Linked DNA regions of Rhinolophus ferrumequinum. The protein of the gene in region 3 interacts with the protein of the main gene of each other region in a biochemical or structural test. Links are inferred from orthologs where the notes say so. Each region holds a gene or a part of one and is shown on either strand. Other genes may lie near its edges. The genes, in order: PPP1R11, PPP1R7 and UBXN2B.

Evidence for each region.
Region 1: the proteins of UBXN2B (region 3) and PPP1R11 form a complex in vitro, tested with the Homo sapiens proteins (2 studies listed by BioGRID). The link is inferred for Rhinolophus ferrumequinum from reciprocal best matches to the Homo sapiens genes UBXN2B and PPP1R11.
Region 2: the proteins of UBXN2B (region 3) and PPP1R7 form a complex in vitro, tested with the Homo sapiens proteins (2 studies listed by BioGRID). The link is inferred for Rhinolophus ferrumequinum from reciprocal best matches to the Homo sapiens genes UBXN2B and PPP1R7.

What each region holds. Positions count from the first base shown.
Region 1 is NC_046286.1:692,598-703,183, reverse strand, and holds PPP1R11 (E3 ubiquitin-protein ligase PPP1R11), read right to left. Parts: upstream 4,973-10,586; 5' UTR 4,762-4,972; coding exon 4,693-4,761; intron 3,620-4,692; coding exon 3,511-3,619; intron 3,076-3,510; coding exon 2,873-3,075; 3' UTR 2,688-2,872; downstream 1-2,687. Other genes in the region: RNF39 (RING finger protein 39), read left to right, coding at 462-1,042; POLR1H (DNA-directed RNA polymerase I subunit RPA12), read right to left, coding at 7,569-7,593. UniProt on the Homo sapiens protein: Atypical E3 ubiquitin-protein ligase which ubiquitinates TLR2 at 'Lys-754' leading to its degradation by the proteasome.
Region 2 is NC_046291.1:513,182-523,267, forward strand, and holds the start of PPP1R7 (protein phosphatase 1 regulatory subunit 7), read right to left. Parts: upstream 4,601-10,086; 5' UTR 4,537-4,600; coding exon 4,485-4,536; intron 1,702-4,484; exon of another isoform or gene 1,650-1,701; coding exon of another isoform or gene 1,640-1,649; intron 1,251-1,639; coding exon 1,122-1,250; intron 1-1,121. Other genes in the region: PASK (PAS domain-containing serine/threonine-protein kinase), read left to right, coding at 8,896-8,935. UniProt on the Homo sapiens protein: Regulatory subunit of protein phosphatase 1.
Region 3 is NC_046297.1:20,235,438-20,246,035, reverse strand, and holds the start of UBXN2B (UBX domain-containing protein 2B), read left to right. Parts: upstream 1-6,087; 5' UTR 6,088-6,219; coding exon 6,220-6,303; intron 6,304-10,598. UniProt on the Homo sapiens protein: Adapter protein required for Golgi and endoplasmic reticulum biogenesis. Involved in Golgi and endoplasmic reticulum maintenance during interphase and in their reassembly at the end of mitosis.

The DNA.
Region 1 (10,586 bases), on a different chromosome or scaffold from region 3:
TCAGGATACCCAGCATCCCTCCTTGTGCCCCTCCCTCTGACACTTGGGCTTTGTATCTTTTTAGCTCCACCTTCCCCATCCTGCTGACCCAGCTCCCAGGCCGCACCCCAGATACTGCAGATTGAGGTTATCAGCCCACACTCCTCTCTGTCAGATCAGCCTCACTTTCCCCACCCCCACAAAACAGGCAATGTCTCCTTTGCTTTTTGAGCTCTGCCCCGTGCCCTGGGCCAGACGGGTCCTTCTCCAAGTCCAATTCCACATAAGTGGGCTATCCATGCATCAGTTGGGTCTTGCCTGGGGCTATCCTTCATGTCCCTTTACCCTGTCTTGTGCCACAGCCACCTTTCCAGCCGTTGTGGGGCCTCTGAAGTGCCCTCCGCCACGTATTCTGTCCTATCCTACTTCTGACTGACTCCGAAACCCCTCTCACTTGGTCCTTTCTGTCTTGCGCTCCCCAGCCGACCTGACCTTGGATCCTGGCACCGCACACCGCCGCCTGCTCATCTCTGCGGACTGCCGCACTGTCAGACTGGCCCCACCAGGAACACCTGCGCCCCCTGACAGCCCAGCGCGCTTCGATCAGCTCCCAGCGGTGCTGGGCGCGCAGGGCTTCCAGGCTGGCCGCCACTGTTGGGAGGTGGAGACCGTGGACTCTGCCTCCTGCGGAGGCTCTTCCGGGGAGGATGAGGACGATGGGGAGAGTCGCTATGCCTTGGGCGCGGCAGGAGAGTCGGTGCGACGCAAGGGCCGTGTTGGGCTGTGCCCCGCGGGCGCCGTGTGGGCCGTGGAAGGCCGGGGTGGCCGCCTGTGGGCACTCACGGCACCAGAGCCCACCCCGCTGGGCGGCGCTGGGCCCCCACCCCGGCGGATTCGGGTGGACTTGGACTGGGAGCGGGGCCGCGTGGCCTTCTATGACGGCCGCTCGCTCGACCTGCTCTTTGCCTTCCAGGCACCTGGCCCCCTAGGGGAACGCGTCTTCCCGCTGCTCTGCACCCGAGACCCCCGCACCCCACTGCGCATCGTGCCAGCAGAAGGCTGAGAAACTCGCCCACAACCTCGTTCTAGTTTGGCCCACAGCGAGGCTGCTTCCTCTTGTGCTCGGAAATCCCTCCTCATTCCAGGCATCGAGTCCACACTCCCGCAACCGCCCGAGTGTTGATAAACACTCCCACCCACCCACAATGTCTCTCTTCTCCCAAATACTAAGACCTCAACTGGCCTCCAGTTTTCACATCCACTCCCAAAGCCGGACCCATTCTCGCCCTTCCCCGCCCCTCCCGCCCACTTCTTGTGATACCTCGAGGAACGCTTCCCCCAGCAGCTACCCAGCACTCCCCAAGTGCTCACTCCCCTGGTACCTTACACTGTTCGGGCCTGAGTTAGGGAACACACCTGCTTCATCAGAACTGGTAAAGGGCCCATGTTTACTACGGAGAGTCCCTCCTAGTCAAATCTTTACCTCCCACTTGTGCCTCTCCTAGTCTCAAAGGGCCCAACGCCTTCCCTAGTTTTAAGGATTGGGTTTTCCTGCCCTGTCCACTCGCAGGTTCTCAAGGGAAGTAAGACCTTCCTAAAAATCAAGTGGCTTGACTCTGTCTGGGACTTAGGGCTCTCTAGGAAGGTTAATAATGTGGGGTTTTTTTGGGGGGGTGGGGGGTCATACCCCACCATGACTTCTTTCCATGTCCATAGATTTTTCCCATTAAGAACCATCTTTAAATTCCCCCTGCACATACTCACAGTAAGGAACCAATGGTGCTACCTCTCCTTTCCTCAACCAGGGAGTGGCCCAGACACCCCAATCCATCCTTGTATATAGCCCTCACATTGTTCCCCATGTGTATAAATGGGCCCGTATTTAACACGTTTTGTGATGTTGGGTTATTTATTTTGTGCATCTGTGGCAATAAATGAGATCTCTATGGTGGTATGGATTTGACCAATCTCTACACTTGTGCACGGCAAAAGTCCTGGGGAATGATATTTAGATCCCAGTAAGAAGGGGAGGGCCAAGAGAGTCAGACATCTGGACTGGCAAAAACACGAAAGCCTAAGAAGAAAGAGGTAAGAGATGGGAAGATAGCCCCATCTCTTTGCTCCCTTTTCCTTCCTCTTTCAGGAACCCAGGCCCCTGGGACTAGGTCGGATCTGTCTCCAAAGCTGGAAGACTACTCTTGAAGCCAGCTTTGTCAGAAATCCTAGATCACATAAGAAAGGTTAAGAGAGAGGACATGACTATTTATTTTTTCATTTTCCATTAAAGGTGAGAATGACAAAGAACTCTCTCTCTCCTAACTCCTCTTGAGGGTCAGGGGTGTGGGAAGGAGGGGAGGGGAAGGGCTGGGAGCCCTCCCATAGTACCTCACATACCACAGGCAAGGACTAAGAGTTAGGACTATATAAATACATAAGTGGATGAGCTCTAAGCCAGCCGTAACAAGCATAGCTGGGGCAACATTGCCTGGAATCTGACTGGGACCCTGGCAGTGAAAGCTGGGGCTGTTGGAAACCCAAGTTAAGTGTTTGGGACTCAAGTAGAGAGCGCAGGGGGCCAAGACAACTGGATCCCAGGACTGGCAGTTTGGCAGTGAGAACAAAGGGAAGAGACTGGGACCAAGATGCCTGGATCCCTGGAGAGAGGAGGAGGGAAAGAAAAAGGAGGGTTGGGGGAACCCAGGAGCTTGGGTTCTAGAATAGCAGCAAGTCAGAATTCCAGGATCTCTGTCCACCCTCCTCTTCTTCTTCCCTCTATCAACCAGAGGGGGGGGGAGGGCGGGGAAAAGGGATCAAACCATGGGTTGAGTCCCCAAGTAGCCACATGAAAACATTCAGGGCCAGACAGACACAGGAATGATGGGGAGAGAGGAATTTAGTGCTGCATTGGCCCTGGAGGGGGCTGGGAGGGGTCAGGAGGCTGGGGAGGGGTGGTGGGGCTGGGTCCGGGGATTGCACGACTCCGTCCTTTGCGGTGGCCCCGTACACAGTGTGTATGACCACAGCCCTCCTCTTCCTCCTCATCGCTCTCCGTGGAGCTCTCGCCAAAGGCCCGAGGTTTCTCATAAATGCAGCAGCCTGGATTTGGGAGGAGGAGCCCCGTTAAAAAGGAGGAAGGGTAAGATGTACACTCAGTTCCATTCCCATTGGATCTCAGTAAAAATGGCTACTTCCACCATCGTCTCCTTCTATCTTCCAGGATCCAGCTTCCCCGGCCCACCCTGGGGCCTCAGCCACCCACCCCCTGTCCTTTCAGATAGCCAGGATCCAAAGCTCCACTTCTCCACCTCTGACACCTCTTGCCTTCAAGCCTTGGCACATCCCAATTTGAGCCCCTGCCTATGTCTTTTCCCTCTAACTTTAACCTCCTCTCCCTGATGCCACAGAACCACCCAGGTAGCGACAGGACTGTGAGCATCTGGGGGCTTCAGGAGGACAAGTGGATGTGAGAAGGTAGAAGGTACGCAGACGGGAGCCAGAACTGCAGGGTTACTGTGGGCAACAATTACTCACATTTTGATGAGCGGCGCCCCATATGTTCGTTGTCCACAGTGTCACTCGTCCATTCCACCTTTTTCTCTGGCTTCCGTTTCCGGAGTTTGATGGTTAGGCTCCGGTTCTCCTGGAAGGTTAACAGAGTTGGGCATACCTATGTAATTCCCTCGTACTGACCATCCCCACTCTCTCCTGGGGGCCTACTCTCTGCCCTGTCTCAGCTCAATCAGTGTCATAGACACAGCACCAGAAGAGCTGAGTGCTGGGAGAAGATGAACTAGAACAGGTCTTTAACCTCCTTGAGGAATCATGAAGTAGTATTTCCTGTTTTTGATAACTATTAGTATACAGAGAAAACACAATCCCTAACCTAGGGAAGGTCCCATTAAATCTTCAAAGGAAAATATAACCCTTGCTGTTTCTGTCTTCCTCCCCAAATTATCCTTAGTGGTATTACTACATAAAAATTATTTTCTCAGTCCCAATGCCTAATCTGTGATTTCCCTTTATTTTTTCCAGACTCCCTATTCTTTTACCCATTAAAGAACTCCATTCTCACCTCTCTCATCCTCAAGCCCTGCCCTTCCTACCTCTTATCCACCTATTCCCTAGCATCCTAGAAATCTCTGGTAACAATTATTCTAAACTCCCTTAATCCAGTGTTATTAAGCCCAATATAACCTCCCTTTGAAAACAATCTAGTTTTTGCAAATATGTTACTCTTTCTTTATTTACATCTCTGATTTTTCAAAATACTATCGTCATCTCTTTTTTTTTTTTGGTTCCCTCATTCTGCTTCCTTTTACATTAATCCCTTCGACAAATATTTAATAAGTATCCTTCCCGTCAAATTCCTCTACAGCTGGCCTCCAACCATGCTTTCTTACACAGCCTTCATCTTCTTACACAGCACCTCCCTTGTTCCTTAAACCCCAGCTTCCCATTCTTTCATTAATTATACACACACCACCCCAAGCAGCACCACCTACATCCTAACTCGATTACTTGTCGCTTGCCGAGCCTTGCACCACCTCTGCCACTCCAAATATGCCCAAGACCTTGCGATTCTCCCAACCCGATATTCAACCCCACTCCTCCCATGTCACCAAGCCCAGCCCCTCCAGCAACTCCACGAAGCCCTAACCCCTCCCTCCCGGTATCTCCCAGATCCTAAACAGCACCGCCCCCCGCCTTTCTCACGGGCTCGGTTGTCACGGTAACCGTTGTCTCAGTGACGGTCTCACTCAGCCCGGCCCCCGCCTCGGCCATGGCTAAGGCTGAGGAAAGGGAGGAGGGGAGGAAGGGATGAGACACCCTTCCTTCGTTCTGTGTTTCTGAGGTCTAAGAGAAGCGGTATCGAATTCAGAGTAGTAGCCAGGATCCTCCACCTTCTTTTCTCCCCCTCCTCCTAGGCCTCCGCTTCTCTACCCCGGGGAATAACCTGTCCAACCCCACTTCCGGCTCTCCGCTTCCGGGTGTGACGCAGTCTGTAGTCCTCCTCTCGTCTCCTGCACTGCGTCAAAGCGCAGGCGTCACCAGATTGGTTCCGTCGTAAGGTCACAGTGCGCAGGCGCCGCAAGGAGTTGGCGGAGTCACTGCAGTGGTGGAGGGCGATCAAGGGCAGCTCGCGCACGCACGGCACGCAGGAGGGGGCGGTCCCGAAGGCTAGAGCCGGGTTAGGCTCGCAGACTGGGTGCGGAATCTTGTAGCTGAGCCCATGCCCCCCACCCCCTGGGAGGGTGTGATGGCGCGTAAACTGAGGAGCAATAATAATGACCTTATAATGGTCCATTGTTGCCTCCTTATTGTTTCGTATAGGAATTACAGAAAGGGGACCGAAGTGCAGTTGGAAATACACCGGATTAAGAACCTGGGTTCTAGTACTCGTCCTGTGCCTCTAAGTGTTCGAGTGGGGCGTTCACGTTCAACTCGAATTTTTTCCTGTCATTGTACTAGGCTTTTAAGATGGCCGCGCATGAAACCTTCCTGTTAACTCCCAGTCTAGTGGGAAAGATTGGCATGCTTAGGACTAACAAAAAAATAAGACATTGGGATATTAACATAGATATAAATCTCACCTGTGAAATTCAATTTAGTTGCATACTGCCTAAACTCTGGGGTAGAGATGAGTAAAATTAAGCAAAGACGTGGTCATAAATTATAGGCCAATTTTGCTATGATAAAAATGTATGCTTCTCAGGGAGAAAAAGAGTGGGTAAAAAGGTGTGGGGACAGAGCCCCAAAAAGCAGTTTCCAGGCTCTCGGCGTCACATAGAAAGGTGCTGGCTCAGGTAGTAAATGGCCATCGACTGTGATCAAATGGCCATCAGCTGTGGCTAGTTGGCCGTCAGCTGTAACCAGTGAGCCATTGGGCACTAATATAACTGCCGTGGCTAGGCTAGCAGAAAAAGGGAGCTAGCAAGAAGATGGTGGCTGAGCCTGCAAGCGGTGCAGTGAGGGTTGAGAATTGAGTGGCTCCTGTTTCCTGTTTCTCCAACCCAGCCGCCAGCGAGAATACAGTGGTATGACTCCCCTACCTATGGCTCCGTGGGTGTTTTTTTTTTGGCCTCACCATGTCCTGCGTTCTTATGTGGGGAGCGGGAGCAGAGGCCCCGCCGGACACCCTGCAGGACAAAAGGGAACCGAAAGACAGACCAATGAATTTTTTAAGTAAAAGGAACTTACAAAGTCATAGGTGTATGGACTGAAGGAAATTAAGTTTGGTACTGCTGGGATACAAGTGGAGTGCCTGATGAGGCTTTACAGGTAGGCGTGGTTATATGGGAAGCCCTGTATGCTTTGCTAAGAAATTTGGACTTTATCCAGCCAGTGTTGTGGGCCAGGAAAAGGCTTAGAGTAGTGTAGAAACATGAACATATTTGTTTCAGATTTCAGGAGTGAGGCAAGGAAGTCAACTGCCAGAACAGTTCAAATGTACAATGCAGAAGACTGTCCTACTCATCCATCCAAGTTGCTGAGCAGTTAAACAAGAGTGTGTGTGCTTGAGCGCGCTGAATACATAAAGGACCACACCGTTGCAAGATAATTATTATTAATATCATCCTTTGATCACCATTTAAGCCAAGGAATGCAGGAATACTGATTCCCAGACTAAAATTTGAATATGGTTATTGTGCCTGGACTATATGTTTGTTTCTCTTTTAAGTTTTTGGTTCAAAGGGAAAAAAGCAAGCTAGAACTCAGCATATATAGAACTCAGCCCATTAAAAAAACAAGTATCTCTGCAGAGTGGGATTCCTTGTAATTTTTACTTTTTCTTTCTATATATGAATCTATTACAGTAAATATATATTATTTATCTCAAGAGCAATAACAATATTTCCAAAATGTCCACCTGTAGTAAGTACATACTGGTATCCCTTAGTATCAGATTTTTGTTGTTCAAACTTACACATAAAATATTGTGCTAGGTGAGCACTAATCAGGGGGATCACTGCATAAATTATACAAATGCCTAACCACTGCACTATACACCTGAAACTAATAATAAAATAATATTGAATGTCAACTATAAAAAGCAATAAATAGTCTATTTTGTCTGGTAAAAAAAAAACTTACACATCGAATAGATCTGGTTAAATTTTCTGTTGAATCTCTCACTATTCAAACTCCCAATTTTTATTTCCCTAAACTGAGGAACTAATAGATTTAGATAGTGAGGAAATAGTTATGTTTGCTTTTTCATATTAGCCTCATTCCTGGCTCCTTTTTTTGTCCTTTTTCTTTCTCATGTACTAATTTATACTCTTTTTTGTAGTTGATATTTGTTGAAAGAACAAATGTATCTATAAGCTCATTTAAATTCATTTTGGAACAAGACAGATTATAAATAACATACATATGTCTCAATCTTATAGAAAAATATAACTTTAATAGGAAAATTCAACTAGGAATAAGAATAAGCACAATGGTAATCCCCACATGATGATCTGCTTCTCTTCTGGGAGCCAAATATTACAACCAGGGGATCGCCACGGGGTCTAAGAATCCAATACCCTTCACCTTCCAAGGAAGAGGGAGGGGTTGTTGAGTCGCCCAGAAAAACAAAATAAAAATCAAGAGTCTTCTTTTTCCTGGAACCTATGGAGAAAGAAAGGATTTCTTTGTTGTATTTGACCAAAGAGGGTCTAGCAGTGAAAGATGAAATACACTCAAATAATCAAGGAAGGACTTTTATTTATGACACTGTGGAAGTCTAGCTCCCCTAAACAATTCAACTTTAAGCCAACTAAAACTGCTGGTACTAAAAATATATCTAACAAATTATGACCTTGAAGTATGAGGTCTGACAGTTAAGTTGGCGAACTCATCCTAGAAAAAGTGCTACATACCTCATTGCTGAATATCACTATGGTCACCTTCGAAGTACTCCCCTTGGGAAGCTATGCACCAACACCAGGTTTGGAACTCTTTATGGAATGGCCATTAGAGCTGTTGTAATATTACCCGTGATATCCTGAATGTCATCAAAATGTTCTCCTCTCAATATTTCCTTTATCTTTGGGTAAAGAAAGAGGTCATTGGAGGCCATATCAGGTGAGTAGGGAGGGTGTTCCAATAGATATTTGTTTACTGGGCTAAAAACTCCCTCACAGACAGTGCAGTGTGAGGTGGTGCAGTGTCGTGACATAAGAGCCATGAACTGTTGGTGAAAAGTTCAGATCATTTTCATCTAACTTTTTCACACAGCCTTTTCAGCACTTGCAAGTAGTAAACTTGGTTAACTGTCCAGTTGGTACAAATTCATAATGAATAATCCCTCTGATATCAAAAAAGGTTAGCAACATTGTTTTGACTCGATTTGGACTGATGGAATTTTTTTGGTGGTGGAGAATTGGCTGACTTCCATCGTGTACTTTGATGCTTTTTCAGGTTCGTACTGGTACACCCATGTTTCATCACCAGTGATAACAAGGCCCAAAACATCGTCTTGCCTCTTCAAAAGGTCTTGGCAAACTTCAACTCTCCTTTGCTTTTGTTCATCAGTGAGCTGCTTTGGGACCATTTTTGCACACACCTTTTGCATGTCAAGATTTTCAGTTAAGATTTTCCTGTTTCTCTATTGATGTTTACTTGGTCTGCTATACTTCTCACAGTCAGCCGACAATTTTAACGCACAATTGACAAATTTTTGCAATGTTTTCTTCAGTTCTGCTCATTACTGGCCGCCCTGACCTCTCTTCATCTGTGACACGTTCTCTCCCCTCAGAAACACTGCTTTGTACACAGTCCCCTTTGTACACTGCTGTTTTCTTCATGGCATTATCCCCGTAAACTTGGACTAACATGTCCCTGATTTCACTTCCATTCTTGCCAAGTTTAACAAGAAATTTAATGTTTGTTCGTTGCTCTAATTCAAGCTCAGACATTTTCACGATGGCACACAAAAACATGCAACAATAATGAATGCCACTCAGCAAGATACTGCCACGTGTCGACACAAACACAGCTGTGAGACACTGATGTACCAAGGTTATCAAACCTGAGCTGTTTGTACAGTGCTGCCAGTGTAAGCACATGGTGGCAAGTTCACGAACTTAATTGTCAGACTTGTATGCAAAGATTTCTTGGGACACAAAAAGCAGTAGCCATAAAGGAAAAAGGATAAACTGAACCTGATAAAAATCAAAAACTTCTGCTCATTTAAAAAAATAAGTTAAGAAAATAAATAGGTAAGACTAGGGAAAATATTCTTAAAAGATGTATCTAACAATAAATATTTTTTAATCCATTGATGAGATGGCAAGAAAGTAAAGGCAATCTTCACACTGGTAAAATGATATAAAATCAGGAAACTAAACAGGTAAAACTGAAGCCCCTGCTACGATGGCGCCCTTGCTGTTTTGACAGCAATATGAAGGAACAAAAGAAAAACCTGTAATACAATGTCTGATAGATATTCTGCATAAATTTGGGACCTCCAAGGGGCTACCCCTCTGTAAAAGTGAATAGGAAAAAAAAAAACAAATTTAACTCTATAAAAGGGGAATTTGTCTCACTAGGTAGAGAAAGAAAAAGCTGGTCCTTACATGGATTTGCAGCTCAGATTCATACTAGCTGTGTAGTCCAAAAAATCCTGAAGCCAAGAATTTATTTAAAAGTGATTCTGTCTTGGTAGTGCCTCAAGGCACCTTAACAAGATACACAAATGCTGAGACAATGGCATTCAACCCAGGCCTCAAAGAATTCCCATAGTTCAAATTCTAAAAAAAATCCGAACAGTCAAAAATCACAAAACAAAGCACCATGAAAGTCAGCAGAAATAACAGACAGCAGCATCAGACCCAGAAAAACACTAGGTACTGGAATTATCAGAGACAGACTATAAATAGCCATGTTTAATATATTTACACGTAATAAATATTTTAAGAATAAAAAGTGCAATTAAAAGATGATTCAGGGGCGGCCAGGTGGCTCAGTTGGTTAGAGCACAAGATCTTACCAACAGAGCTGTCGGTTCGATTCCCACATGAGCCAGTGAGCTGCATGCATCCTCCACAACTATATTGGAGGACAATGAACTGACTTGGAGCTGATGGGCCCTAGAAAAACACACTGTTCCCCAACACTCCCCAATAAAAAATTAAAAAATAAAAGATGATTAAGGAATCAGGAATTCTTTAAGATGACTGAGATTTGAAAAATGATCAAGTAGAACTCAAAAAATTTAACGTAATAATTGAAATAAACTGAAGACAGAATTAGTGACCTGGAAGAGAGACCTGAAGAAATTACCCAGAAGCAGCATAAAAAGAGATGGAAAATATGAAAGACAGAGGAATGGAGGATAGATGGTCTAATAAACAGCTCTTTAATTAGAATTCCAGAATGTGAGAATTGAGGTCATGAGGGAAAAGCAATATTCAATGACATAATGGCTGATAACTTTCCCAGGTTGATGGGAAAAAAGAAAAATCAATCCTCAGTTTCAAAAAGTTCAACAAATCCCAAATAGGATGAATAAAAGAAAACCGCATCTTGATAAATTGTAATGAAACTGCAGAACACCAAAGGCAAAGAGGAGTTCCTAAAATCATCAGAGAGCCCATGTTCTTTAAATCATACTCCACTAA
Region 2 (10,086 bases), on a different chromosome or scaffold from region 3:
GTACTTAGCCCGCCCACGTCACTTCCAGAATATCGACTCTCAAGTTCCAAAATGTGATGGGTACTTTTGTGGTAATCTCCTTTGCCTTAAAATTAGGTTTCCATAGTTACCAATCATCTTCACTGGCACAGAGAGCACAATGTTATTTTAAAAATTAGTTTTGTTTTTTTCTAAATTTGTTAAAAATGGTCATGTATGATTACTACCTTAAAAATCCATACATTGTATATAAATCTAGAAAATGCAGAAGGTATAGACCCTTACCAACCTGCTGTTCAGACACCCTCAACAAGTTTGATGTGATTTTCTCTTAAGTAGGTAAAACCACATATTATTAATATGTTTTAAATAAAAACAAGATTTCAACATGCATACTGTTTGGAAATTAGCTTTTTTTCACCTAATAATATATTTGGACATCTTCCTGTCTGTTCATATGGTTTCTCCTCATTGTTTTCAATATAAATTGATTTTGTAAACAAACAAACAAACAGGCTTAGATCATGGTTGGAGTGTGTGAAAAACTACCAATTCGGGCTGAGGACTTACTTTTCTCTAAATTCCTTTTGCTGTTTTTCACTAAAGGAGGCCATTGGGACATTTTCTACATAAAATGATTTTCCTAACATCTAGCGATTAAGAAGTCCTTTCTAGGTCTGTAAAATGGTGAAGAAGGGCTCAGAATTGACTTCTCTAAGACACTAAAAGTGCTATTCTGAAAGTAGGCTGTTACCATGGCAGGAAATAAAAGCAGAGTAGTCAGCCATAATGTTTATTTCAAATCTCACTTTCTGAGCACATGGTTAATAAATCAATTTTTGGGGTCTGTCCCAGATGACGCACCAGTACCAATATTATCAGTAGTAGTATTTGGCTTCAGTGGAATTAGGAAAAAACCACATCCTGCCTGCAAGGGCCGTTATGCCTGCTGGCCAATGGCGCGCCCAAGTTACAGGTCCACCATTCCCAGCCTGCCGAGGGCCTGGGCGCTGTGGTAGCAGGCAACGCCCGGAGCCCAGGGAGCTCCCCAGGCACAACAGAGGCTGCCACCTGGCAATCCGCACGACATTGCCCTCACCCACCCCCTCGGTGAGCTCAAGGCTCAGGACTCGTGCCGGTACCTTGTGGGTCCTCCTCCCCCCGCTCCGCTCCATCCTTCAGGCTGTGCTCGCTGAGGTCGGCCACGACGCCGCTGCTCTGCTTCCTCCCCTCTTCATCGCCCGATTCTTCAGACTCGACCCGCCTGTCAACTGAACCCACACAGATCAGTAAGAATTCCCATCCACTTCACGTGACTCTTTCAAGAACTTGTAACAGACTGACATCCAGTTGTGAGTCACAAAGACTTCACTCAAAAAAGTGTTGAGTTCAGCTCAATGAGCATCTGTGTGTCCTCCAGGCCCCAGGCACTGCCTGAAGTGTAGTGGTGGGAGAACTGGGGGCAGGGTGGGGCGGGGGGCAGAGCGGGGAGGCACACGGCAAGGGGAGAGCATCATACTATTCCTACCCTCAAGGCCTCCTGAAGAGTCGCCAGGTGTCCTGAAAGCCCTGGATGGTCTCATTAAACATACTAATGCTGACACGTAGCGAAGCCTGCACATTGCGAAGAGGGGACCATTGTGACCCTCCTGCCACATACCTTCATCCATGCTCCACTATCCATTTGGCCAAGAAAACCAGCCCAGTTCACAGGCCCACGTTCTGAAAGAAATTAAGACTAACTCAAATCAGACTGTGGGTGGGGGGGCTCTAACGAGACAGGAGAAGACAGCCAATAGTGCTAAATGCCCCACGAGAAGGTCACAATGCTAACTAACACCAGGGCATAGTGATGGCAGCTCAAAGCTCTGAAAGGCTGGTAAATAATGTTTTTCGAATAAACACGGCAATGATTACATGGGGCAGACTGATAAAAATTCATTGGCAAAACTGTCAGATAAGTTTCCTTTCTCCTAACTTTTTCATGACCTCTTTTGGAAGTCTGTCTGGAAGCCCTCAGGCACTAACAGCTTCCAAGTTTCCTGACTACAGCTTATCTCACAGGAGCGTGCTCTTTGAGAGGGAGACGGTCTAGTTCCAATTTGTATCTCCCGCTGGGCCAAGTGAGGAAGCACCCAGGAAAGGACTGCTGGATGAAACACGTCCCTATGGAACCCACCTCCAAAACCTCCAAATCCATTCCTTCTTCCCTGCCCCCAGCAACTGCCTCGGCTCAGCTACTCCTCACCTGTGGCCTGGGCTCCTGCTGGGCCTCCTAACTGGTCTCTCTGTGGCTTGTCTGGCCCTGACTAATCTATTCTCCATTGCCAGAGTCTGATCTGATTCTAAAACCCAAATCTGATCTGTGACTCCACAAAATTTCTGGAATACCAATGGCTCTTCCTGACTTTGCATCTTGCCCCTAGAGACACAGCTTTGGCAGTTACTTCCTTTTCCAAGCCTCAGTCTCCAAATCTGCAGAAGGGAGCTGGTATAGTAACTATATCTCAGGGCTGCTGTCAGGATTAAATTAGATAAGGCACAAAAGCAGTTAGCTTTTAATAAATAAAAGCAGTACACAATTAATTAGTTACAGGTACCCCTGCTTTTCAAAAGTTCACTTTACACCACTTCATTTTTAAGAAAGACTTATATTCGTACCTGTTATCACTAATGAAAGAAATCTGAAGAGGAATTTAGTTTTTACAAAAAAACGTGAAAAGTGAAAATAGCATTGTTTTGTTTTGCAGAGAGCCCTAAAAGAGGCAGCACACACCCCAGTGAGTGGCACCACTAAGCCTAGACCCAGGGCACCTACACCCAGCGTCTCAGCATCGAGCTGACATAGCTTTGAACTGTATCTGTGAGCATCTATGTTTTATCTCAATTTTGTGCATCTGCAGTAAGTTATGTCCTAAGGTAACTGCTTCTTTGATTTATGCCGTTTCGGGTTTGAAAGGTTTTATAGGAACGTTCTACTTTGAGATACTGGTAGCAGCGGAAACCTGCCTGCACTGCCATTCCATGCACTCTGTGGTCAAGGCTAAGAGCAAGTTCTACTGGGTTATGGATGTGGCTCGGCCCAGGGCGGAAGGGGCTTAGCTAAGGAAGAGCAGCCAACATGAAACCTGGGATTCTATCCTGAGGGTTGCAGAGTATGGGGCAAGTGACAGAGGACCACCATGTGAGGCCCTGGGGTCAATGGGCTGGCTCAAATATTGGCAGTGGGAACGAAAGACGTTTGAAAATTTGGAGATTTTAAGGAAGTGGAGGCGTCAGAGCTTCCTGACCAATGGATGAGTGGGTCCAGAGAGAGAAATGCCTGGGGTTTTCGTTTGTCATTTACTAAGGCATGGAAGTGGTTGGTGGGTGAGGAAGAGAAAAAGGGGACAGGAAGAGGCACTTCCTTGCTTAAAAAGATCCAAGGGTTTCAAAGTCCAGGACTTTTCAAATGCTTCCCCCCCACCCCCCACCTTCTCTTGCCAGCTTCACTGGCACTCTCCACCCTCATCCAAAATGACTGTCATCCTTGGTCAAGCTCTCCTCCAAACAGGTCTGGATCTCTCACAGCCCTTTGCCTGTGACTGTGTGGTTTTCTTCCCCTGAAATGACCTTTGATCTTTCCCCCACCCCCAGCCTGGCCGAACATTTAAGGTCCAACTTGGAGCTTTGGTTGTGCCGCCTTCACTGCTAAGTACGCCAGCTCTTCCTTTATGGCACCCCACCTCCAACCCTTTCTGCTTCCTTCTTACCGGCATTTACACTCGAGTGGCTGGCTGCTCTCCTGGAGCTCTGTGTCCCCCATGAAACCAGCGCAGCCAAGAGCACATCAGTATTGTGATAGAACTGACTCTCCAATTGAGTGTGTGTGTGTACAGTCGTATGCACATATATGCATATAATTTTTTTCAACAAAGTGAAAGAGTTGAATTTAGTCCTCTCCTAACTGTGATAACTTTGCAAACAGGCACCTGCTGTTCTGTAACAGTCTCTCGGCTCCCTGTCACCCCCTTCTCCACAACCCATTCGCTTTCGAGAGGACCCTTCTCGAAATGAGCCTTCACTAATGAGCCAGCGCGGGCAGTTCCCACGGCGCCCTGCGCCTGTTTCCTCGTTAGTTGCACGGGGACCCCGAGGGTCAGGCTCAGAGGTTCAGTGCGAGGCTCCAAACAGAGGGTGAACGCCCGCGCTGCGGGACTACGGCGCCGTCAGTCCCCAGCCACCCACCCGCCCACCCCGCTCATGCCGCCGCTCTCCCCTCGATCCTGGGTCGGGCGCCTCCCGGTCCGCCCGCGCCTTCCCGGCCGCTGCCGCCTTGGCTCGGGGCCCCCAGGGCCGCCCCCGCCCCCGCCCCTCCGAACCGGCTGGCAGCTGTCAGGGGCCGCACGGCAGGGCCCGGGCTGTGGTCGGAGGCGGGCAGCCCCGTTTCTCTCGGGCAAGGTCGGTGCGGGCCGCCACCCCCAGCCTGCTGGGCCTTTCGGCCACCGCCCTGTGGGGCCGCTCACCCTCCATCATCTCCTGCGACTGTTGCTGACCGGCACCGCGCTCAGCCGCCATGTTGGCTGCTCTTCCCCTTTCCGGAATCTGTCGCCTCAGGCCCTTCAGCCAATCAGGGCTCCCAACTCAGAACTCACCCAGCCAATGGAATCCCAGCGGAGGGGACTGAAGCCCCGACGCGCCTGCGCGGCCGCAGAGCCTCACGGTTAGTTGTAGTCCATCCGCGAGGTCGCGCGCCCTCAGTCTCCGCGCCGGCCGTCTCACCTCCCCCGGGCAGGTAATTTGAGAGCGCCCCGGAGGCGTCTGGAGGCGAGGAGCGGGAAGGAGGACTGGGGCAGTTGGGGCTGCACGCACGGAGCAGTGGCTGCAGGCAAGCGGAGAGAAGAATCTGGGAGATGCTCTGGGCTCGTAGCGAGTCTCTGCGTGGGGCTGCAAAGTGCGGGCCTCCGCAGAGGCGTCTGTACAATGGGCCGACTTTGTCTCGGCGTCGCCGCGCGGACTTAGTCCGAGTGAAGGGGCCGCCTCCAGTTAACGCTCAGCGCGGGACGGGCTCGGCGCCAGGGCCGGGGCCGGGGAGGAACTCCGCCCGCAGGTGCCGGGAGAGCCGGTCGGGGCCCGGGACGCCGACCCACCCACAGCGGGCGCCGCAACCTCCGTCGGCCCTCGGCCCCGCGGGTGTGCTTGGCCCGTGAGGGAGCCGCCCCTGCTGCCCCAGCCTCCAGGGCGAGGCTGCTGAGAGGCGAGCTTCGCGCTGCTCACCCTTCTCGATCCCAAGACCAGAGGAAACGGTGTCTGCCGTACCCGGCTGGCGGGCCGCCGTCTCTTTTGGCTCCTCGGAGGCGCCGTAGAAGGAGTCCGGTGCGTCCTTAGCAACCGTTAGCGCGGGCTTCTCCACCCCGGCTCGTTGAGTCCTGCCCACAGGCGCCAGTGGTTGGCCTATGGGGCCTGTCAATTGGCGTGAGTTGCTCCGCGATTGGCCGGCGGGGCTGGAGGCGAAGATCGGCTTCCTCGCGGCTGGGTGAAGCAACCGGCCGGCTGACTCGTCCCCAGGTGAGATGCCTGCGCTCCTGGGAGTCGACCCGGGCTCCGCAGGGTCCTGCTGCCCGACCCCGGCGAGGCCCTCGGACGAACCAATCCGAGCCCGGTGCCCCCGCCGCTGCCCGCTTCTCCGTGCGACTCCCGCCGGGGTAGCGGCCCGGCGCCCAACGGCGGTTTGTGCCGCTTCGCGCCCTGGGGCCCTGGGCGGAGCCTCTCTGGTCCTCAGCGTCTGCGCCCCGGCCCCACCCCACCCGGCGCTCAGTCCTCAGCTGCAGTTAACTGTGTGCGCTTTGTAGTCACTATTGTTGCTTCTCCTGGAAGGTGAACTCCAGAATGGAGACTGCCCTCCTCTATGCTGGGGACGGTGCCTGTTATGCAGGACTTTTCAGTAAATATCTGAATGCGTGAGCTGTGGGGTGCAGCCCGGCTTCTCGACATCTCCGCTTGGAGGCCTCCAAATACCTGGGCTTTGTCCGTCACCTTCGCCTTTTCTTTTCCAGAGAATGGCAGTGGCCTGAGCAGAAACCTTGGGGTGTGGGCTTGATGCTCCTCATCCCCTCATCCCCGTACCTTGCACCTCTCGTCACCCAGTAAGTCGACGGCAGCCATAGGTCGAGTTTTGACTTGGCGGTTCCTCTGGCCGTCTTTCTGACATCGCTTATTTTAAGACCTGCTAATACCTTGCCTGGATTACTGTAACTTTTCTCCCCCCTTCTCCCCCCAGCATTGCCCCTGGAGTGACCTTTGTAAACTGGGCATCTGGTCATGTTCCCGAGCATGGAGCTCTTTAAAGTCAATGTTAGGGACGCAGTCCGGACTCCTGGAGGAGGCCCAGGAGGCCCTGGGAGTCGTGCTGGGCTGCTCCAGGCCCATCTCCACCTACTTTCCTGTGTGTGGACTCCTCCCCAAGGGCGCTGTGGGCACCTTTGCCCTGTGGTGGTTCTGCCTGGAAGGCTTCTTCACAGTGCCAGGCTCAGCTCTGCCAGTGTTCCCTGGAGGAAGCCTTTGCTGACACCCTCCGTTACAACAAATCCAAAACAATATCCTTCATCCCGGATATTGTTTGGATGCCTGATGCCAGAAACAGAGGTGCAGTCTCAGAACGGCTCTAATGGTGAATGAAGCTGTTGGCCCCCAAACCTGAAATCCCGAGGAAGGCTGGTTTTAGGGTGGGTGTATCCAGTGCCCCACGTGGCATTCTTGCCATTTTCTGCTCTTCTGCCCGCCATGTTGGCTTCACCCTGAGGCTGGTTCTACTCGTGGTTGTACAGCAGTGGTGGGAGAGTTGGAGCTGCTTGTTACCTGGCTTGTGGTCTGGTGGCAGGAAGGTGGTTGGTTGCATCCAGAAGTTCACCCATGAGAGGAAGGAGTACTTTCCAGAAGCTCCCTGCAAACCTCTTAGAAATGACCTAAGGTGATGTGAAGCCAGGCTGTGCTGTCAGCAGCCAGCCTCTGGCCATGGCGTGGGAGGCCCTCGTCCCTGTGGTGTGGAGTTGCTGTGCAACGCTGAGTTGGCGGGGAGGGACCCCCCCCCCCACGGCACAGAGAGAAAAGGACCTGTCCTTCCTGTATTCACTTTTTTTAAATTAATTAATTAATTTTAAAATTTTTTATTGAGGAATACTGGGGAACAGTGTGTTTTTCCAGGGCCCATCAGCTCCAAGTCGTCGTCCTTCAATGTAGTTGTGGAGGGCGCAGCTCAGCTCCAAGTCCAGTCGCTGTTTTCAGTCTTAGTTGCAGGGGGCGCAGCCCACCATCCCATGCGGGAATTGACCCCACAACCCTGTTGAGAGCTCGCTGCTCTAACCAACTGAGCCATCGGCCACCCCCATATCCACTTCTTGATTGATCAATTGTCGGCACTATTGACTTGTTTTCATGAAAGATGACATTTCTTGTCCTTATCCTCCCTTCACATTACCTTCCCTTCTCTCCCATTTGTTATATTACAAAGTGAACTTTTGTAACATTTACAATGTAGTCCAAAACTAGTCAAGTCTTCTGTGCTTTGTCTATAGGTTGGTTGTATAAAACATCTTAATATTTTAGTGTATACTAGCTGATTCATACAGAAGGAGAAATGCAATATTAGTCATGAGTCATGACAGTAAAGTGAACTCATTTAAACTCACCACCCAAATTCGGAACCAGGGGACCCTGTGCTATTCCAGGTTGCTGCTGGACCCACAGAAGAAACCTCCTGCCTGAAGTTTATCACTTGTGGGTGTAACCCTAAAGGATTTGTTTAGATTGGGGGAGGTTATAAAAAGGGAGCCTTACTGTTGATAGTTTGTTGTAACTTGGTTTTTTTCACTTTTTATAGGGCCAACATTTATCCTTGTAGTGTGCATAGAATTTTTTTTCACTCTATAATTCATAACAGAATTTACAATCTATTTTCTTGCTGCTGAATGCTTAGGTTTATTATTTTTTCTTTTTTTCTGTTCACATTGTGAACCATGCTGTCCTGAACATTCTTGTGTTTGACTTGCTACCCATGTGTAAGAATTTCTATAGAATATAAATGTAAGAGTGGAATTTCTGTCAGAGTAGGCAAATGTTTGACTTAAGTTGTTTCCTAAAGAGGTTCATTTGTTAGAATTCCCCTTGAGCCGCATCTTTATCGATGTTTGGTGTCATTAGAATTCTTGATTTTTGCTGATTTAGGAGGTATAAAATTGTGACGATTATGGTAACAGAGAAGCCTGTTGTCATAGGCTTGCTTGTTGGCCGCGAGGGTTTCCTTTTCTGAGAAATTCTTGTTCCTGTCTCTTGTCCATTTTTCTATTGGGCTGTGTGTCTTTTAAAATTTTTTAAATTTTAAATTATTGACCTTTTAATCTCCTGGATATTAGTTATCTGTTGGTTATTCACGTGGTGAATATCTTCTCCCACATTGTGACTTATCTCATTTTCTTTATGACACGTTTTGTGAGCAGACATTCTCAACACCTAGTGTGCGGCCGGGGTCCAGGATCGGTGGGTTTCTTCTTTTGTTATCGAAGATTGTCCACTCTTAGCTCTTCAAACGTTTCTTCCTTTCCATTCTCTGTCCAGTTACGAATTAGATTACCTCATCTTCGTCTCTTAACTTTCCTCTCATAGTTTTGTTTTTTTGTTTCTCTGTTGCATTCTGGGCTCTTTATTCAAAAATATCTTCCAATTCACTAATTTTTTTTCAGCTGTAGCTACCTGCCTCTTTTACCCACCCATTGACATTAAAAGTTAACTTTATTGAGATGTAATTTATGGACAATAAAATGCTCTCATGGTCTGTACTTAGTTCAGCGAGATGTATATGTAGTCACAGCACAGTTCAGTCAGAATATTTCCGCCACCCTAAGAATTTGCTCTATGCTCTTTTTCAGTCCATCCTCCACCATGGCCCTGTCCTGCTCTGCTTTCTGTCCCTGTAAATCAAGTTTGTATTTTCTGGTGTTTCGCGTCAATGGGACCCTACAGGAGGTGTCTTTGTGTCTGGTGCCAGCGTGCATCAAGTGTGCCGGTTCTGAGATTCATGCACAACGCTGTTTGTGTCACTGCATCCCCTTTCACTGCTGCGTATGAGGCCTTTGTGTGGATACTCTTCAGTCTGCATGTCTGGTCTCCTGATGACGGGCGTTTGGATGGTTTCCAGGCTGCAGCTCGCTGCAGTCATGCTGTACTTGGCATCCGTATAGGAGTCTGTGGACTCGTGCTTTCCTTTCTCTTAGGTAGATGGCTGGGAGTGCAATCACTGTGTCCTAGGGCAAGTGGCACGCTTGTGCCATGTGTGTCCCCACCACTAATCTGAGGGCCCCAGCTCTGCACCCCTCACCAACCCTTTGTACTTCCATTCTCTCTCATTTTAGCTGCCCCGGTGGTTGTCATGATAGCTCATTGCGGGCTTCCTTTGCATTTCCCTGGTGACAGTGATGACGAACATTTTCTCCTGTGCTTCTTCGTGATTTGTGTGCCTTCTTTGTCTGTTTAAAACCTTTATCCTCCACCCCCTTTTTAAAAGAGTGGGTTGGTAATCTTCTTATGAATCCTTAGGATTTTCTATGTCTTCTGTGACTTGAGACAGCTGTACGCCCTCTTTTCCGGTGTGTGTGTGCCTGTCGTTTCCCTCCTTTCCGGTGTGTGCGCCTGTTGTTTCCCTCCTTTCCGGTGTGTGCGCCTGTCGTTTCCCTCCTTTCCGGTGTGTGTGCCTGTTGTTTCCCTCCTTTCCCATGTGTGTTCCTGTCGTTTCCCTCCTTTCCCGTGTGTGCGCCTGTCATTTCTTTTTCTCGCCTGTGTGCCCTGGCTAGAACTTCTAGGACAGTGCTGGATAGAAGAGGCTTGAGTGGCTTCCGCCCCCTGACCCCAGGAGTGCGTGTTCAGTCTCCCCCCACCAGGTGTGTTGCTAACTGCAGGTTTGTCACATGTGCGCCTTCAGCAGGTTGAGGAAGTTTCAATTCCTAATTGTTGAGTGTTTTTTCTCATGAAGGCGCGTGGGCTCTTGTCAAATGCTTTTTCTGCATCAATTGATGGGATAATATGAGTTTGCTTCTTTAGCCTCTTCACATGGTGGGTCACACTGGTTGACTTTCA
Region 3 (10,598 bases):
AATCCATTTTTTTCCTCCTTCCCTCACCTATTGCAAATCTAGCCATTTGTCAAACCAGATGAAAGCACTGGAGGAAAAAAAAAGAGGTTTTGATTTGAGACATCTAGATGAAAGTAACAGTTGAAAAGACAGTTGAAAATGCAGGTCCAAAGTGATGGTAAGAAGTAAGTATTGGAAAAATAGATTGGGGACTCCTAAATGTAGTTAATCCTCTATTCCAAAACTCCATCTTTGCAAATTCGCCTACTCAATAAAATGTGTTTGCAACCCCCAAATCGATACTCATGGGGCTTTTGTGGTCATTCGCGGACATGCACAGAAGCAAACAACTGAGTTGCCCCGTGAGCATGTTCCCAGCTGAGGACAAACAAGGAAAGGTTCTGCTTTCTTGTTTCAGCTCTTCTACTACAAATGAACTCATGGTCTATTTATGTCGCATTTTATGCATTTTTGTGCAGTTTGTTGGTGATTTTGCTGTGGAAAATGGCCCCAAGCGTAATACAGAATTGCTGTTTCTCAGTCCAAGTTCCTAAGTCCAAGAAGGCTGTGATGTGCCTTCTGGAGAAAATGTATGTATTAGATAAGCTCCCCTCAGGCATGAGTTATGGTGCTGTTGGCTGAGAGTTCATATTAATGAATCAGCAACATGTATTAAATAAGATTCATTCAACAAAAACAAGCATAAAACAAGGGTATATATCAATCAGTTGACAAAACTGTGCCCAAGACCTTGCAGAAAACTGACCCTGTATTTTTGGAGCAATGGTTCAGTATCCACTAATTCAGTGTTCTCGACAACTTTATAGAACATAACTACTGCAAATAATGAGAATTTTCTGTGTACAAATAGTATGTAGAAGAGTGGATGATACTGAGTAGTGAAAGTATACACAGTGAGAAAATAGAGGGCTGAAGACAGAATTCTAGGGAACACCACTACTTAGAGGGTAGACAGGAGATAAAATGTTAGGGGAGCTCAAAAGAAATGGTCAGGTAAGTAAGGAGAAAATGATGAGAATTACTTTGAGGAAATTACAGAAAGTGAACAGTTGTGAATGTCAGAAGCTGCAAAAAATCTTCCAGAAGACACATAGAGGAATAAAAGAAAAACATATACTTTAAAATAAAATGGACCAGAATTTAAAATTTAGTTCTGCTACCTCATAGCTGGGTGATATGATCATGGAAATTCATCTTATGTCTCTGGTCCTCAATTATTTCTTTTGTAGAATGGAGACAAATCCTAACTAGAAGGTTGTTATAGATTACAGAAAATAACATACTCGTATGCAACCCATGCAAATAAGCAAATATATTCTGTAAATATTAAAAAGCCAAGATTAAACTGTTTAAAGGATGAAATAGGGCCATTGTGTCCTACAACAATCTCTGATCATGGCTTCAGTGATGTTCCTGCATAAGTAAAATTATACAAGTGTGAGTTTCATTTAGGTTGGGCAGTTCAAATTGGATATTTATTAGTCTACGATGGGTAGGCCTGCATTTTATTCTTTCTTTGCTGATATACCTTGTTATTTCTTGACTTTCCATGAATGGAAAATGAGAAATAGTCAAACCTGCGTTTGAGTTATGATCCCTATTTCCTTCATTCGTTCACTTGTACTCATTAAAAAGTACATATTATGTCCCAAGTTCTACGTTAAGGCACTAGAGATAAAGACGTGACCAATGGCCTCCCTGATATTACAGTCTAATGGAAAGAAAACAATAAGTATAACAAGTATTAATGTTAAGTTTCCAGTTTAAGCAGCCCCAGAAACAAGACATATTATATGTTGAAGCAAGTGTGAGACAGAAATTCCTAGGAGATATTTTATATAGAATAACTTCCATGATTCTTAAACCCCCAGGATTACTTTGAGAACATAAAATAGTTAGAGGATAAAGGGAGAGTGAGATACTTGTGATCCTATTTCTTTGGAGAACAATGGGAAGAGGCACTATACGAGGTCTGACAAATAAGTTCACGAACTCATCCTAGAAAAAGTGCTTCGTACCTCATTGCTAAATATCACTAGTACTACTCCCCTTGGGAAGCTATGCACCGATACCAGTGCCTAGTCTACCCTTCAAAGCAATTTTGGAACTCTTTTTCTGGAATGGCAATCAGAGCTGTTGTCATATTACCCTTGATGTCCTGAATGTCATCAAAATGTCTTCCTCTCAATATTTTCTTTATCTTTGGATAAAGAAAGAAGTCATTGGGGGCCAGATCAGGTGAGTAGGGAGTGTGTTCCAATACAGTTATTTGTTTACTGGCTAAAAACTCCCTCACAGACAGTGTCGTGTGAGCTGGTGCATTGTCGTGATGCAAGAGCCATGAATTGCTGGCGAAAAGTTCAGGTCGTCTAACTTTTTCATGCAGCCTTTTCAGCACTTGCAAGTAGTAAACTTGGTTAATTGTTTGTCCAGTTGGTACAAATTCATAATGAATAATCCCTCTGATATCAAGAAAGGTTAGCAACATCGTTGCAACAAGTTCACCAAACTTAATTGTCTGACCTCGTAGTTTTCATCACAAGCTAAGAGAGGGGGACTTCAAAGGGACCATGTGAATATCGGTTGATATTTTTATTCATGTTAACAAGATGTAAGTGAAACAACACAAACATCATGATAACTGAATGATACATGAGCAACTTCTTTCTTGAACTGGCTAATAATTTTCAAATACAGGAAGAATATGTCCTTTTTTCCCCCTTTTTTGCTATTCACAATATAACAGCTAAAGGCATGGCATGCCTTTAAGTTTTAACTTCACTGTAGACATTTTCTCTAACACATTCTTAAATCTAGAGTAGACAATCAACAAAACAATAGATCAAACTCTTATTTGTGATGTTTTCCAATTTCTGAGGTATAAATACTCCCACCATGGTAAATTTCAAAATACCAACATGCTGTTACTGAATGCAGAGTTAGGAAGAGGTGTGCAGTAGCATATGGTATCTCCACCATTCAGCTACAATAGATGTAAATAACTGCAAGAGCATAAGTAATAATAAAAGGTATTGAAATGATTAACAAATGATTTTTGAGTATTTATTACACTTTTTCTAATGTGGTTTCATTGTAAGTTTATATAATTTTTAGCAGTGTTTAACAACTGCCTATGAAATTTCTGAAAATTTAACAATAGGCTCTCAGGAACCAGTATAATCTCAGGAACCAGTATAATCCACTGACTTTAAGTACATTGAAAACATAACCTTTACTGTCCTTACTGTCACTCTCAAACCATTAAAATATGGATTTTCCTTTCTATTAAATTAGTAGTAACCTTTGGAGCAGCAAACTCCTCTTCCCTTAATCCAGTGGATAGTTTCCAGTCCTACTCTTACTTGATTATCTGTGGGAAATTATACTTTTGGTCTCTAACTTGATACCAATTTGTCATTAGTTTTTCCAGTCTCTTCAGCCTACCTCTGACTAATCCTTAAGTTTACTTTGAATGGTCTCCTTTCTCCATTGAATCCTTCAGTGTTGGTGTTTTTTAATATTTCCGGTCCTCACATCTTCTTACATTTCACACAGCCTCTGCAAGCCTCATCTACCCTGCTGTCACTTGTATGCAATCAACACCAAATCTATATCTCCAAACCAAAATTTTCTCCTAGCCTCCTAATATCTAGACCCATATTTGCTATTGCTTCATGATGTATTTTTACCCTAGTGTCCCACATAAGTTTCAAATTCAAAATGGCCATAAAAGATGTTTTTTTCTTTTGAAGTTTACTTTGCCCTTTCAACTCAGTAATGTACAGCAAGCATTATTAACCATATAAGCTAACCAAAACCCTGGATGTCATTCTTCCTTCCTCCTTCCTTCATATACTCCCCATATATTCCAGCACCTACTGAGTCTGACCCTAATAGTTCTACCAACTGTTGCTTCTCTCTATACTCACTGTCACTGATACAACTTGAGTCCTAATTATCCTTCATTGTTGTAACAACCCTCTAATTTCCTAACTCTGGGTCATCTTACACAGGGATGCCTCTGTGATCTTTCTAAATCACAAATCCTTTAAGGGCTCCCAATTGCCTTAGATCAGTGGTCCTCACCCACTACTGTACAACAGAATCATCTGGGTAGGTTTTTTTCAACCAACTTTATAAATGTGTAATTTACATATAATAAAGTGCATCCACTTTAAGTAGATAGCTTAGGATCTTTTGACAAATGTATATACCTGTATAAGTCCCACCACAATCAAGATATAAAACATTTCCATCACACCAAAATGTTCCTATATGTCCTTTTTTAGTCAAACTCCCCAAGTTTATCCTTCCCCAAAGAGATAACCCCAAGCAACCACCAGCTTTCTGTCAGTAAAGGTTAGTTTTGGCTGTTCTAGAATTTCATGTAAATTGAATCAGACAATATTTATTTAGATAATGTCGTTGAGGTTCATCCATGGTATGTGAAGCAGTAATTTATTCCCTTTTTTACTCTTGACTAGTATTCCATTGTATGAATTTATCAAAATGTTTCTATTCATTTGCTGGTGGGCTGCTTTCAGTTTGGAGCTATCATGACTAAAGCTTTTCTGAACATTTAGCCACAAATATTTTGTAAACACATGTTTTCATACCTCTTGGATCAGTATTTAGAAATGGAAGTGCTGGGTCTCGTGATAACTGAATATTTAACTCCAGAAGAAACTGTCTATTTTTCAAAGTGGCTGTACCATTCTCCATTCCCACCAGCACCGTATCAAAGTTCCAGGCAGAGAGCCATAGCAAATACAGCTCGTCTTGCTTGTTTTCCTCTCTGGGATATCACAAACCTGTACTGCCTGTTATTCAATGTCTGAAAACAGTTGTTTCATATTTTTATCTAGTTTTTCAGTTGTTGAGAGTGGGATGGCAAGTCCAGTCCCAATCACTGACAGAAGCAAAGTCCACTTGGGGAACTTCTTAAAAAATTTGATGCTGAGTTCCACCCCATACTAATTAAATCTGATTTCCTGGTATGAGGAGAGCAGATGAGGGGTCCTAACGTGCAGCAATGTTTGAGAATCACTGGCCGAGAGTGTAATGTTTAACGTCTTCACTAGGGCAAGATCCTTCAAAACCTGTCCTCAGCCTACATCTCCAGTCTAAATCTTCCCATAACCATCTTGTCATTTCCCTTAAGCTTCAATCATGTAGTACTTTATGGACCTGAACATATTTCAAATTTATGCCTTTAAATATGGTTCATTGTGGTCCAAAGTCTATTGGAAGTACTTATCCTTAAGATTCAGCCAAAATGTCATTGGCTCTATGGGACATAAAGGAGAGCCAGGGATTTCTGGGGCAGAATGCTGTATTAAAAGGAATACTGGGACGACAAATGCAAGATTTAGTATCTGGTACTGTCATTTACAACTGGGTGAAATTCAGCCATCATCTGGTTTCCTCGGGTATAACACAGTATTAACAATACTTACCTGGCAGAGGGATATAAGAGATTACACACGTAATGCACCCAACATGGTGCACATAGGAGGCGCCAACAGAATATTCCCCTCCACACTCCCTATTCCACGCAAAGCTCTATTGCAAATTGCATTCTACTATCTATTTACACTTCTCTTTTCCCCACTAGATGGTAAGTTTTATATTGAGCGGAACTACTTTTTACCTTTGCATCCAGGGGGCATAAAAGTGACTGGATAAGACAGGAGCTCAAATAAATTTCAGATGAATGAGGAGGGTTTTGTAATTTCTAGTTCTGATTGCAAAGAGCATTTACGGTGTTCTTCATTCTCAACACCAATTCATGCTTTGGGGTCGACGTGCCACCCAATCCTTGGTAGGGAAGACGAGGGAATTTGCCTAAGACTAGAAAAGTACATTTGCAATTTTGACCAGATAAACATCCAAAGGACGTTCTCGTTGTTGAGTTAAAAGAACTTGCAAGTCTATGCTGCCCTCTAGCGCGGCCTACAGCACCTTCAGGCGGAGAAAAACACCAGGCTCACGTGGAAGCTTCTCCGGGCAGAAACTCTCTGACCCAATTCCTTTCAGGGAAAAAGGGAGGTAGGACAGGTGGGCTGGTGCCGGAAGTGGAGGCGCGAGCGCGCGGAGTCCGGAGAAAGCGGGGCGTGCAACGACCGTCTCCCCTCCCCATCCCCCGCGCGGTTGCCAGGCAACCGACCCCGGAAATCCCGCGAGGTGCGTTGGCTGCAGGCGCCCGCACGCGGGTAAAAGATGGCGGAAGGCGGCGAAGCGGAGTCTGCGGAGGAAGAGCGGAGGTCATCTGGGCCGCGGCCCCCGAGCGCTCGGGATTTGCAGGTGAGGCGAGCGGCTGAGGGCGGATCGTGGCGGAGGAGTGAAGGCGCGGGTCGGGGCGTGTCGGAGGCTGCCTCTGGCCTCCGCCGTGCCTTCCCCAGACCCAATTTGGGGACAGAATTGTGATTTCCCGCTCCACAAGTCTCCCCAGGGCGGCGCAGCGTACAGTGGTGTTCGTGGAAACAACTGTCCGTTTGCTCTCCACCCCGTTTGCAACTTAAACAGCTGCCCATTTAGAATGGCATTTTGTGGGGTCAGTTCACAGGTTGATGCTTCCTTCAGGAAACTTGCCGGGGAAGAAAGCTTTACTATGCTGCGGGGAAAGCAGCGGTCAGTTGATATAACAGGTGTACTGGTTTGATCTTTTTTGTCTTGGATGCTGTTTGTCTTGAATACATATACTGGGGTTGCCAAAAAAATGTATACAAATGGACACTTTGGTCAACATTGCTCAAGCAGTAGTTCCCTGTAATAAGTGTCTGGACACTGATGGTGACTACTCTGAGCACCTCTTGTAATTGCGGAAGTCAAATGTGACTTGTATTCATTTTTTGTTACCAGTATATATTGAGTGTTAACAATTTTAAGAAGTTTTTTCCTTTCTTAAAATGTGTGTGCATTTTTTTGGCACCCCCAGTATATACATATATATATATGTATGTATGTATATGGTTCCTTTTTATCAGGTTCCTTTTTCCTTAAAAAGGTTGAGCTAAAGTATTCCATCCTACGCTGCACAGTCTACTTGTAAAAGCTACAGTCTATAAAACAGTGCACAGGAGGAACGGGGAAATAAAGCGTTATAAAGTTATAAGATACCAACATTAGGTAGCTAAATAGGAGTGCTCCAAATTTTGCTTTATCAGATGTTTAACACTACTTTGCTCAATTTAGGCTATTTTTTGGTCTCCTTATAAGGAGCTGTAATTAAAAATAAATGACACTGAATCCACAGCCTTGGTAAAAAAAAGTTATATTACTTTTAGAGTCACACCTTTATTCTATTCTGAACATACATATTGACCACCTGCTATGTAATGTACTGCTAAGCCCTGGGGAATGCAGAGATAAATAGGACATCAAATCCACAGTTGACACTGGTGCTGGACACTGTTGAAAGGGGTAGAAATGTAAAAGGCATTTCTACCTATTTTTTGCAGAAATAAGATATGAATATATTTAACATAACATTTTAAGATGGAGTATGAATGAGTCCCCAAATAAGCAGTGGATATAATGAGGAATTTGGAGAATGGAGAGATCACTGTCAGGTTAGGAGTCGCAGGAAATACGGAATAGTTTCAATGCCCCTAGGTCAATTCAGTAGTAGTAAAGAGACTCAAGGACTGGGAAACTATCATCTACTTCATCTTTTCTGTTGTAGGCCACCATCACTAAGTGGCAACAGGAGATGTTGGGGGAAAAATGGAGTTTCTGGTCAGACCAACTTCAGTTTGCATCATGGTCCTGCCACTTAGTAGTTGTGTGAATATAGGAGAAATGTCTTAACCTCTCTCATCCTGATTGTCTTTATTTATAAACTAGGGGTGATGTTAATGGTGTCAAGGATGAAATAAAGTAATGTCTTTAGGTGCCTATGCTCAAATACTCCCATAGTATCCTGGCCCATACTTGCTTGGTAAATATTTGGTTTCTTTTCCCTTAAAAGAGAAAAGTACTATATAACTCACTGGTTAGTCCATTGTAATGCCATTAAAGTTAAAACTGTGTAACTTAATAATCTTTCTCTAATTTAAATCCATTTCTTTTTATGTGAACAATAGGACAGTTTGGTTAATGATCACCTGATAGTTGACAAATTTACAGACAATCCAATGGATTACTGTATTGTGCCGTGTGTAATGCGCACACACATTTTTGGCTCAAAGTTTCAGGGGAAAAAATTTTTCATTTTAATTTTTTAATTCAAATTTTTATTTGTTTGCATTTAGGTACGTGTTTTTTGTATTATAAAGGACTTTAGTATTTATTTTTAATATAGTACAAATAATTGTATGTAACAAGTAATTACAAAACACAAGAATATACTGGTACTAGAAATTTTATGTACCAGTAACAAATGTATGATATTTACACATCATAGAAGGCCAAGAACTCTTCATGGTTGCAAGTTCGTCATAAGTTCAACAAAATCGAGTATCGTATTCCGGGTATTAGTTTGAATCCGGATATCGTTATTGATTTCTGGAGTTACACTTTTAACTCATAAGTATAAATAAAAAAATTAAAAACACTTATATAGATACGGAATTAGTACTACCCAGGTATAATGCACATCCTTATTTTTCCCTCATAAATTTGGGCAAAAAAGTGGGCATTATACATGGCGAAATATGGTAATATATGATTAATGAACAGAGATATTCTGGTAGATGGCACTAATGAGAATGCCTTTGTTTCCACTGTCACTTAGAAGAGATTTTTTTTTCTGTCTATCTACTTTCTGGTAAGTACGTTAGTAACTGATTTTTTCATGAATGTGAGTTGGTATATCAAATACACTAAGTATTGATAATCTTTCCTTTAGAATTTAATAAGAATGTGAAGAACTTTCAAAGAAACCTGAAAATAACAAGTGATGGCATATGAAGAAATAGAGTATGTATCAAAAGTTTAGAAGAATTGATTAAAGTTCTTCTGCCTGACTGGTTTCTTGGATATTGATTATTTTTGGATTATTTTGTTATTGTTTAATCTAGCCATGCTTATTTTAAGTTATGCAGTAGTGCAATTTGCAGTAGATACTTGTTACTTTTCTGACAGCTTGCTCTGAGAGTCAGTCTGTTAAGGTATTATAGAAGAAAAAGGATGACGTATTACTAATTGGAACAGCAAAAGGTCTGCTAAGTACGTATATCTTAGCTGCCACATGATGTAGGGTTTGTCAGCATCTAAATCAGGAGAGATTTCCCCGTTTCTCAAAAGGGGAAAGATGGGTAGTTGTCTGCCAGAAAACCTCCCAGCTCTATGAGCCTCTGATTTTCAAACTGCAGAAATCTGTGATTATTAAACCAAGAGTAGATCTTAGGTCCCTTCATTCCTCCCAAATTGGGAAACATTCTATGGGAAAGTTTGGGATGGATTTGTTAGTGACAAAACTAACCCTGAAAGCCTCACTATTCATTATATTTCTGAATATTTTCAGAGATCTTTGTCTCTTCTTGTGCCCCTCAATCCATCCACACGCATGGTTTTAACTAACAGTAGGTTAAGGTATTTAATCACCTTATGTATGCTTTTGTCCCACTTCCTCCAGAATAAGATCCAAAGAAAAATATTTCTGTTCTAAATTCTGTATTTCCATATAGGTTGGAGTTGAGGGGGGATTGAGATTATCCTCAGTACTTATTAGGGTTAGGATTGGGCTTTGAGTGGGACAAAGAGGGAGTTCTATAAGTGAAAAAAGAAAAAGACTATGATACTATGTTAAAATTGCCACAAGCATTCTGATCCTGTTGGGTATCAGTATTCTGTATCGTTGGTTGTCAATTTTAGTGTGCATCCCAGACAGCAGAAAGACTTGTTAAAGCACAGGTTGCTGGGTCCAACTCCAGCCCCAGAGTTTCTACTTCAGTAGGTCTAGGGTGAGGCTTGAGCATCTGCATTTTTCAAGGGTCCCCATGTTGTTGTTATTCTGTATAAATCAATATTATACCTTCTGGCTGTTGTCACTCAATGTCTGAGAATTCCAGTACTTTTAATCTTTTGTTGTACACTTGATTTCCTCATTCTCAATTGCCTTAACCTTCAGGTTTCTTTACATGTTCTTCACATTTCAGATTCTAGAGAAAAGATTATCAGTGCTTACATACATACTTTATTCTCTCTGTGTAATTGAAATATCTTCATAATCTAATTGTTTCACTTGTGGAACACTTCTGATAATTCATAATGCATCATTACTTCATAATGCACATGTTTTTATCTCTTTATTTGACTGAGATTTTGTTGTTTTTGTTCTATTGGTTTTCACCAGTACTTCAGTTTATGTTGATCCGTTTAAATAATTATTTCCTTTGCTGATGTGGTATCATTTGCTATGTCAAATAATGTAAATTAAATTTCTTTGTAATGTCTACTAATGAACTTATGCTATGTGATGCTACAGGGAGATCATGACTCCTGGCACTAATTCCCTGTAAATATCATTCATTTTCCTCTATATTAATAATGTACCATCAATAACTAGAACCTTTCAGTTAGGTGGATTACCTGCTCTAATACAATTTTCTCCATATTCCTATTATTTTAATACATTCCTACATCCCATGGATTCA